Linked DNA regions of Arabidopsis thaliana. The protein of the gene in region 1 interacts with the protein of each later gene in a pairwise test. Each region holds a gene or a part of one and is shown in the gene's direction. Other genes may lie near its edges. The genes, in order: RIP3 and SDR3.

Region 1 (5,131 bases):
CACTAAACGAAGCATCCAACTAACCAAACAAAGAATTCTTTATCTTCGTCGAGAATGAAGGCAATATAATCCATTATATCAAACTTCTTCAAAACAGATACAACTGAATATTCTTGTGCAAACTCATATGTAGATGAACAAGTTGGATATCAGGACGGGCCTGTTTCAAGGGGAGACAAAAAAAAGTAATCAAATACCTTGTATATATATACATCATTCAAATTATATTAAAACTCAGGATCAAGCCAGTTAATTTCACAGCATAAATGCTTTAGCAACAAAGTGGTTAGTTTCACAGACATTTTATCGAGCAGGTGGTGTGCACAATGTAAAACAAAGAAAAACAGAAACCTTTGACGTAAGATTTTGATTATTTTTCCGACAATGTCTGAGTAAATGAGAATGGTGGAATCTGGCTCCAATTTCAATGATTCAAATTGAGGGACAAGGACGAAGAAAGAACCGCGTTATGGTTTTAGACTTTTTAGTGGTGTGGTGAAATTTACGTCGAGTTTTGAACGATACATATGGATACGAGTTACGGTTTCAAGTATGGTTCAACCGACGCGAATTAGATCGAACCGAAAATTTGATCGAAAAATGAAATCGTTGTCCGCCAGAACCGGATAAAACCGGAAATTGGGAGGCGGATGAAATTAGTTTTTGACTTTTTGTACATAACCAACCCATCATCAGTCGATCACTCACTCTCGGTCACTGAAAATTAAAAAAAGAAACAACACTAGCTAATTTCAAAATGTTTTATGATCAATGGTTTATAATAATTTCTAACATTTTTGCATAATCATCATCGCATGGTGGTGTTTAATTATTTAATTACTAGCCAGACAGTGTAGTGAATTTATTGTTGAAATACTTTCTTTTTATTCGTCAAAAGAAAAATTTGATTAGTAGTTCAGAAGTCACTAGTTAATACTCTAATAATCTAGTACTAGTGAATATAATGTTTTTACAAACCATTAATGTAATCAAGCTAATCGATCGTTAGCATAAATTTCAACGATATTTTCTCCCAATTTTTGTTTTCCGCCCAAATATATAGTTAAAGTTGTGTGGAAATAATATGTTAAGTAAATTAGCAAGCGTGTATGATAAATGAAGATAGTGATGATTGATTTTGCATTGTTTCTTTTAGGAGATGTGTATGTCGTATTTATCATGCATCGGTTTTCTATGAGGTGGTGTGAAAGTGAAACGTTACATGCTTCAATATATAGCACTTTCAAATGTATGTAGATTGAACACGGAAGGTTAATGTGTTTTTGTGAAAAATTGTGACAATTTTATGAAAATTTTCCATTTATAAAGTATATAGATATGCTAGGTTAGTGTCCTTTGTGTGTGAGTGACTTATGGTTGCGTGACCGTTCGTTGTTCATAAGTAGCAATATGAGGCCAAACAATAGCACGTGACTCGGGCGCGTCTACAAGGCGCGTAGTTAAAAAAACGCCCCCTCCACGTTCTTCTACTTTCGGTCCATTCTATCAATTAATTTCAAAATAGCCCCTGATATTTATTGATCTATTTCATTACCAACCCCACAAGTTTTTTTGATTATCCAAAATTTTAATTTTAATTTTTCGGAATAACCAAAAGGAATCCAACGTAAAAGGATTATAAAAATAACTAAGTACTGAAAATTGAGGTGGAAACAGCACAATCATTACTTCAGGGGTTACTTTTGATAAATATTGCAGTTTAGTTGAAAATAAATGTTTCTTCAGTGGGAAAAAACGACTCGCGAGTCCAGTGAGAAAAAAAGAATAACAATCCGACGAGAAAGAGGAAAGATCAAATCATCTAAGTGCTGGTGCCTTGATTCTGCAGTTCTCCATTTTAATCCAACAAAAAAAGAAGCTGAATCGACGGTATAGGTGAATACTTCTTCACGACTTTTTCAAACACTCAGAAACTTCTCTTCCTTTCACATTGATTTATTCCTAATTTTAGTGCGATTTTTTCCTTTTTTTTCTCAGAAGTTTATCAATCTTGTTAGGTAGATATTTACTACTAGTTTGTTTTTTCTACTAATTTGCTGAAGAAAGTGTTAATCTTTGGTTGGTTTAAGGTATAAATTTGCTTACATCTACTCAAATCAGCTAACTTTTATTTTGGTTTGGTAGCTTAAAGATTCAGTCAAAAAAAACTTTAATCTTTGTTTTCCTGCAAAAAGCAAAAGTGTTTCTGTAATAAAACACCTTTTTGCAGAGAATGTTAAAAGATTCTCTAGTTTTAGGCTTTATGTAAAAACGATTTTTTTGCTGGGTGTTCTGTTTTTGGATCTGTGTTTCTTTTTTGGGAAGATCCACCCAATGAAACCAAATCTCACATTACAAAATGACAAGAAATTGTCTCTTCTTCCCAATAATTCCAAAACTTTGATTTAGTAAAAAATAAAATAAAATAACTGGGTGACTTAACAACCAGAAAGATTATGTGTAAGATATTGGTGCTTTCTTTGCTTGTAATAGGGTTTATCTTTGGTGATTTGATGAATCACATTGACGGCAACTTCTTTTCTAATTACACTTCTAAATATTTTATATATTTGGAATTGTTCCAAATCATTACAATATTCATTTGTTGTCTCTTTGCTTTCGTTTGGTGGTAATAGGAGTCTCTTTGAAGCTAAATGTGTAAATATTATTCTTATGTTTTTTTCGTACACTTGCTTAAGCTTTCTTTCTTCCCTGAGTTTGGTTGTCTATATGCTTATGATAAGTTTTTTTTTTCCCTCTGTTGCTTCTTTCTCACACTTTCCATTGGTCTTCATGTACTATTTGTCAGATTCTTCAAAGAAGCAATCATAACGCAATTGATTATATCCCCAAAAGAAAAGGTTTTTAAACTCCAAAAATGCAGACTCCAAAATCAAGGTGATGATCACAACTCTAACTTTGTGTTCTTGTTGTGAATGTTGTTGGAGTTATTGATCTGTTTCAAAGTGATTGTGATTGTGTGTGATAGGCCAGGATCATTGGAGCTGCCACAAAAGAAGTCTCCTTTACCAGCTCCCAAAGTTGTTAGGAGACTCAAACCAAGCGGAGCAGAATCCGATCCAAAAACCAAGACAATATCGAAAACTCAAATCCCGAAAGTAGTAGCTGATCGTCGCTCTGCAAGAATCCCTCTCAATGAGGTACTTTTGCAGTTAAAAATTGTTGGTTTGGTTTGGTGTATGCAAGTTTTATATATGGTGATTCTTGATTATGTTCTTTTCAAGATTCAGAAGAAGCGGACGGGAAGGATACCGGAACTGGAATCTACGATATCTCAGCTTCAAGAAGAGCTTAAGAAGGCAAAAGAAGAGCTAAACAGATCAGAAGCATTGAAAAGAGAAGCTCAAGAAGAAGCTGAAGATGCCAAGCATCAGTTAATGGATATCAATGCCTCGGAAGATTCAAGAATTGAGGAGCTGCGTAAACTCTCGCAGGAGCGAGACAAGACATGGCAGTCTGAACTTGAAGCTATGCAGAGACAACACGGAATGGATTCTACCGCTCTGTCTTCTGCCATTAACGAAGTTCAGAAACTGAAATCGAAGCTCTTTGAGTCCGAGTCTGAGTTAGAGCAGTCTAAGTATGAGGTAAGGTCTTTAGAGAAACTCGTCAGACAGCTCGAGGAAGAAAGAGTAAACAGTAGAGACTCTTCATCATCAATGGAAGTGGAAGAGCTGAAAGAAGCAATGAATCTTTCAAGGCAAGAGATAACACAATTGAAATCTGCAGTTGAAGCAGCAGAGACAAGGTATCAAGAAGAGTATATACAGAGCACATTGCAGATAAGAAGCGCATACGAACAAACAGAGGCGGTTAAATCAAGATATTCACAGAGAGAAGCAGAGTTAACGGAAGAATTGAACAGAACCAAAGATGAAATCGAAGGTTTGCGCAAAGAGTTAATGGAGAAGGTGAAAGAAGACGAATCTACGGGCGATTTGAAGAAGCTAGAATCGGATTTGATGGAAGTGAGAGGGAGTTTAATGGATAAAGAGATGGAGTTGCAGATTCTAAGGAGTGCAATGGAGAAGAAAGTGGAAACCGCAAACACGGAAGCCATGGAAGCTGAGCTTAAAAGAGTGAAGATTCAATGTGAGCAATGGAGGAAAGCTGCTGAGACGGCAGCTTCTATACTGAACAATGATGAGGAAAGAACAGATTCTATTGAGACTAGCAAAATGTTGAAGAAGTTTGGTGTGTTACTCAAGAAAAACCATAAGTAATAATAATACTGATTCTTTTTACTTGATTTAATAAAAATGGCATTATTGTTGTATGTAAATTTATAAAATTTCGATTTGTCTAAGTTTAATTTTTTTGTTGAAACGTTGCCACATTTGTTGATGAAATTTGTATTGTGAAATGTTGTTTGAATTCAATACTTGAAAAATTATACCTTACTTGTCTGAGTGTGAGCTGCTAGTAGCAAATTTAGTTTGGTCCTGTACATTGGTTTACACTTTACATGTATAGAAGAGTCAAGAGTGTAAAGTAAAAGTTTGTAATAGAATGTGAAACTCTAATTAAGAAGCCACATGAATACCTCTCAAGTCTTGGATCTTCCTTTTGACATTTTCTTCTGTCTATTTTCCTTTTTGTTGCGCACTAAACGCTGAGACGGCCCACTAGATTGTCTTTGGTAATGACAACCAAATCCACTTCATGAAAACATTTGACTTTTTTTTTTTTGGCAGAGACTAACCCATTCTACCTAGTTTTTAGATATCAGTGACAATAATTAATTAACTACTAGAAAATGTCCCACGCGATGCGTGGGTGAAATGAATGTAGTGAAATATATGTCTATAACTAATATATATTAATATAATATTAATTATTTTATAATACATTCAATAAAAAATATCATAAATATTGTGATTATGATATTTTAGTTTTAAACTAAACATTTAGTTTATGAATTATAATCTAAAATTATTTTGGGTATTTATAAATTAAAAATTATCGAATTGATCAAAAAAGAAAAATTATAATATTGATATACAAGATAAGCCTTGTGTTTTATTTAAATATATGAAAATGATATGCAATATTTCTCTGAGTAAAAGATTTCATAAGTATATATCATATTGATTATAGTATGTGTGTAAAT
Region 2 (3,806 bases), on another chromosome or scaffold:
TGCGTCGTTAAGCCTATTTGAAACTAAATAAATAAATAAAATCGGTTATTTACTTATTAAAGTGTGTATATTTTTTTCAACCAAATAAAAACATTATTATATAGGAACAAGTGTCACTATTATGGTGCATAATTCAGAGGTCAAACCAATTCTTGAGCCATTAAAAAAGTAAAACTCACATGGCACGATAGAGTTGACTTTTAAGATACATATACCCCCATGTATAAATATCCACACATAGCTCTCTCGTAGCTCTATCCTTCAAATTTTCATAACGTCTCAACAATGTCTGGAAAAAGGCAATTTCCTCATCTGATTTTGTAACCTTTCTGCTCAACTTTATACCCATATACATAAATGTGTGTTTCTAATGATTTGTTTTTTTTTTCCAGATTGGATGGCAAAATCGTAATTATTACTGGCGGAGCAAGCGGGATTGGGGCTGAGTCCGTTCGATTATTTACCGAACACGGCGCTCGAGTCGTGATCGTTGATGTACAGGATGAGCTCGGTCAAAACGTTGCAGTTTCGATCGGTGAAGACAAAGCGAGTTACTATCATTGCGATGTCACGAACGAGACGGAAGTTGAAAACGCCGTTAAGTTCACCGTCGAAAAATATGGGAAGCTTGACGTTCTGTTTAGTAACGCCGGCGTAATAGAGCCGTTTGTGAGCATCCTCGACTTAAACCTCAACGAGTTAGACCGAACGATCGCCATTAACCTCCGCGGCACAGCCGCATTCATCAAGCATGCTGCACGTGCCATGGTGGAGAAAGGCATCCGCGGCTCCATCGTTTGCACCACTAGCGTCGCGGCTGAGATCGCTGGCACGGCACCACACGGGTAAAAACTAATATTCACAACAAAGACTTTTTAATTCTTTAGACAAACCAAAAGTGCACTAACTAATTTCGTTTTCAAAACCATGTAATAATAAATAGTGGATCGCTGCAACGGAGTATTATAATTAAAAGAATAACAAAGTGATCATGTTGTCACGATTTATTGACAATAATTTTTTATCGTTAAAATTCAAAATAGAATGAATTGCTTACTAATAATATAGGTACACGACGTCGAAGCATGGGCTGTTGGGTTTGATCAAATCGGCTTCTGGTGGATTAGGAAAATATGGTATAAGAGTAAACGGCGTTGCTCCATTTGGTGTCGCAACACCGTTAGTTTGTAATGGTTTCAAGATGGAACCAAACGTGGTGGAGCAGAACACGTCAGCTTCGGCGAATCTAAAGGGCATTGTATTGAAAGCTCGTCACGTGGCAGAAGCTGCTCTGTTTTTAGCGTCCGATGAGTCGGCTTACGTTAGCGGACAGAACCTGGCTGTTGACGGTGGTTACTCGGTGGTGAAGCCGTAGCTATAACAACTTGGCCACAAAGATCCCATGATGGAATATTGGAATTTTGTTTTTTTGGTCAAAAGTTGACTTGACTTAATTGTTGTAGAGGCATGGGGATTGAGAAGTTTCTGAGGTTGCAAATTTCCTTGAAATGTGGATGTTGTATTTTTATATGGTAACATTCATTATCCAACATATTGCACATCTCGAGGATAATTTATTTAAACAAATACTACAAGCTTATTTGATAAATCGTCTTTCTAGTCTCTCTATTTTGACTATGGGTTTTGAATTTTGATATTTCAGTGAAGAATCCTAACCATTTAGTACTAATTTACACGTTATAGTTTCAAAATAATTGATTAAAAAACAAAATAGGAAAAAAAAAATTGATTAATATAAAGTCTACGATAAATACAGAGAACGGAGCATATCTAGTCGCTCTTTCAGGTCTACTTGACTTATAATTAATCTGTCTCTCTGTCTACTTTTGAAATCCTTCAAAAATGTCGGGACTCAGGCAAGTGTGACTCCAAAGCATTTTTATTATATGTTTACTGATTTGTTTAATTTACGTGTACGTTTATATTCTATACCGCAGATTGGATGGCAAAATCGCAATAATAACAGGCGGAGCTAGCGGGATTGGAGCCGAAGCGGTTAGGCTGTTCACGGACCACGGAGCTAAGGTGGTCATCGTTGACTTTCAAGAAGAACTTGGTCAAAACGTTGCCGTTTCTGTCGGGAAAGACAAAGCAAGTTTTTACCGTTGCGATGTTACAAACGAAAAGGAGGTAGAAAACGCCGTTAAGTTCACCGTCGAAAAGTACGGGAAGCTTGACGTTCTCTTTAGTAACGCCGGCGTTATGGAACAGCCGGGAAGCTTTCTCGACTTGAATCTGGAACAGTTTGACCGAACCATGGCGGTCAACGTTCGTGGTGCGGCTGCGTTTATCAAACACGCTGCACGAGCCATGGTGGAGAAAGGCACGCGTGGGTCAATCGTATGTACGACCAGCGTCGCGTCGGAGATCGGTGGTCCAGGACCTCACGCGTACACGGCGTCTAAGCACGCTCTTCTCGGGCTGGTTAAATCGGCTTGTGGCGGGCTAGGGAAGTACGGGATTAGAGTCAACGGCGTTGCACCATACGCGGTGGCGACGGCGATAAATAGCCGTGACGAGGAAACGGTGAGGATGGTGGAGGAATATAGCGCAGCCACGGGGATTCTCAAAGGTGTGGTGCTTAAGGCTCGCCATGTGGCAGAGGCGGCTTTGTTTCTGGCTTCGGATGATTCGGCTTACGTTAGCGGTCAGAATCTGGCTGTTGACGGGGGTTATAGCGTCGTTAAGCCCATTTGAAGGAGAGAATATTCTATAAATCAACACTTATTAACGCCTTAATATTTTACTTTCAACGAGCTTTTCACGCCATTATCTTTTTTTTTTTTTTTTTGGGTCAAATCACACCATGGAATAATCGCCTATAACGTTACGTAAGCAATTACGTATGTACTATAGTTAATTCGGATAAATAAGGGTAACGTTATTAATACTTACTATTAAAGTTTCTTTACTTGTAATTTACTGCAAAAAACAATTGTTGGCTTAATGGTTATTAATTACAAAGTATCAGTCCACAATCACATCAAAGAATTTGTCGGGACAAGAAACAGAAGAGTTGACGAAGAGAAGTCAAGAAGAAGAAGAGTCGTCGAAAAAGAAAAGTCAAAAAGACACACAAATATCTTGGGCTTGGCTTCATCACCAAATAAAGAAAAAGCCGACAAAAGTCCAGAGGCCCATTAACAGCTCAAGCCCAAGATCAGATTCAAAAACACAAACAAAGATTTCAGAAACTCAATCAAAAACTTCCTCCTGTACAAATTACAATGCAACCGTTATCAAGTTCTTTTTTTTCTTTGATCCTTAAATAATGATGATAAGATTGAAAGTCTCAGATCATGGTTGCATAACATTAGTCTATAAAAGGAAACATAAGATGTAATCAAAATCATAAAGTTGTCATCTTTACCGTTATCTTATCCTTTTCATTTTCTCTTCACAAAGAAGATAAAACTAGAAGTACTACCATCAAGTTGTACCAATTAGGCGTGGAGCCATGGAAAATATGCGTGTAAAAACATCGCAGATATGGATGGACATGTGTTGTTTCAATGGTAGACACAATTAGTTTTTTGAAAAAATGGCATTTGGAAATTGGGATGTCACTGTTGAGTAACTTTATATACCGGAAAACTTACTATTTTTTCCCAAACTCATCTAAATTATATCTAATTTATATGTCTTTATCAACTCAAAACTATGAATTAAAAGTATGATGGAAATGAATCCAGGCATAAAATATTTACTTCACATGAGTAGCAAATAGAAATATAGATTTGGGATATTTTTTTGGTTGGGTTAAAGGTTGATGTCCTCATGTGGAT

Evidence for each region.
Region 2: the proteins of RIP3 (region 1) and SDR3 interact in a two-hybrid assay, tested with the Arabidopsis thaliana proteins (one large-scale study listed by BioGRID).

What each region holds. Positions count from the first base shown.
Region 1 is NC_003074.8:19,779,303-19,784,433, reverse strand, and holds RIP3 (ROP interactive partner 4), read left to right. Parts: upstream 1-1,732; 5' UTR 1,733-1,896; intron 1,897-2,203; exon of another isoform or gene 2,204-2,809; 5' UTR 2,810-2,878; coding exon 2,879-2,898; exon of another isoform or gene 2,899-2,936; coding exon of another isoform or gene 2,937-2,989; coding exon 2,990-4,244; 3' UTR 4,245-4,352; downstream 4,353-5,131. UniProt on the Arabidopsis thaliana protein: ROP effector binding specifically activated ROPs and linking them to the microtubule cytoskeleton. Involved in ROP-regulated polar growth.
Region 2 is NC_003071.7:19,348,539-19,352,344, reverse strand, and holds SDR3 (NAD(P)-binding Rossmann-fold superfamily protein), read left to right. Parts: upstream 1-1,694; 5' UTR 1,695-1,863; coding exon 1,864-1,877; intron 1,878-1,958; coding exon 1,959-2,718; 3' UTR 2,719-2,997; downstream 2,998-3,806. Other genes in the region: AT2G47150 (NAD(P)-binding Rossmann-fold superfamily protein), read left to right, coding at 1-21; SDR5 (NAD(P)-binding Rossmann-fold superfamily protein), read left to right, coding at 286-299, 393-845, 1,069-1,375.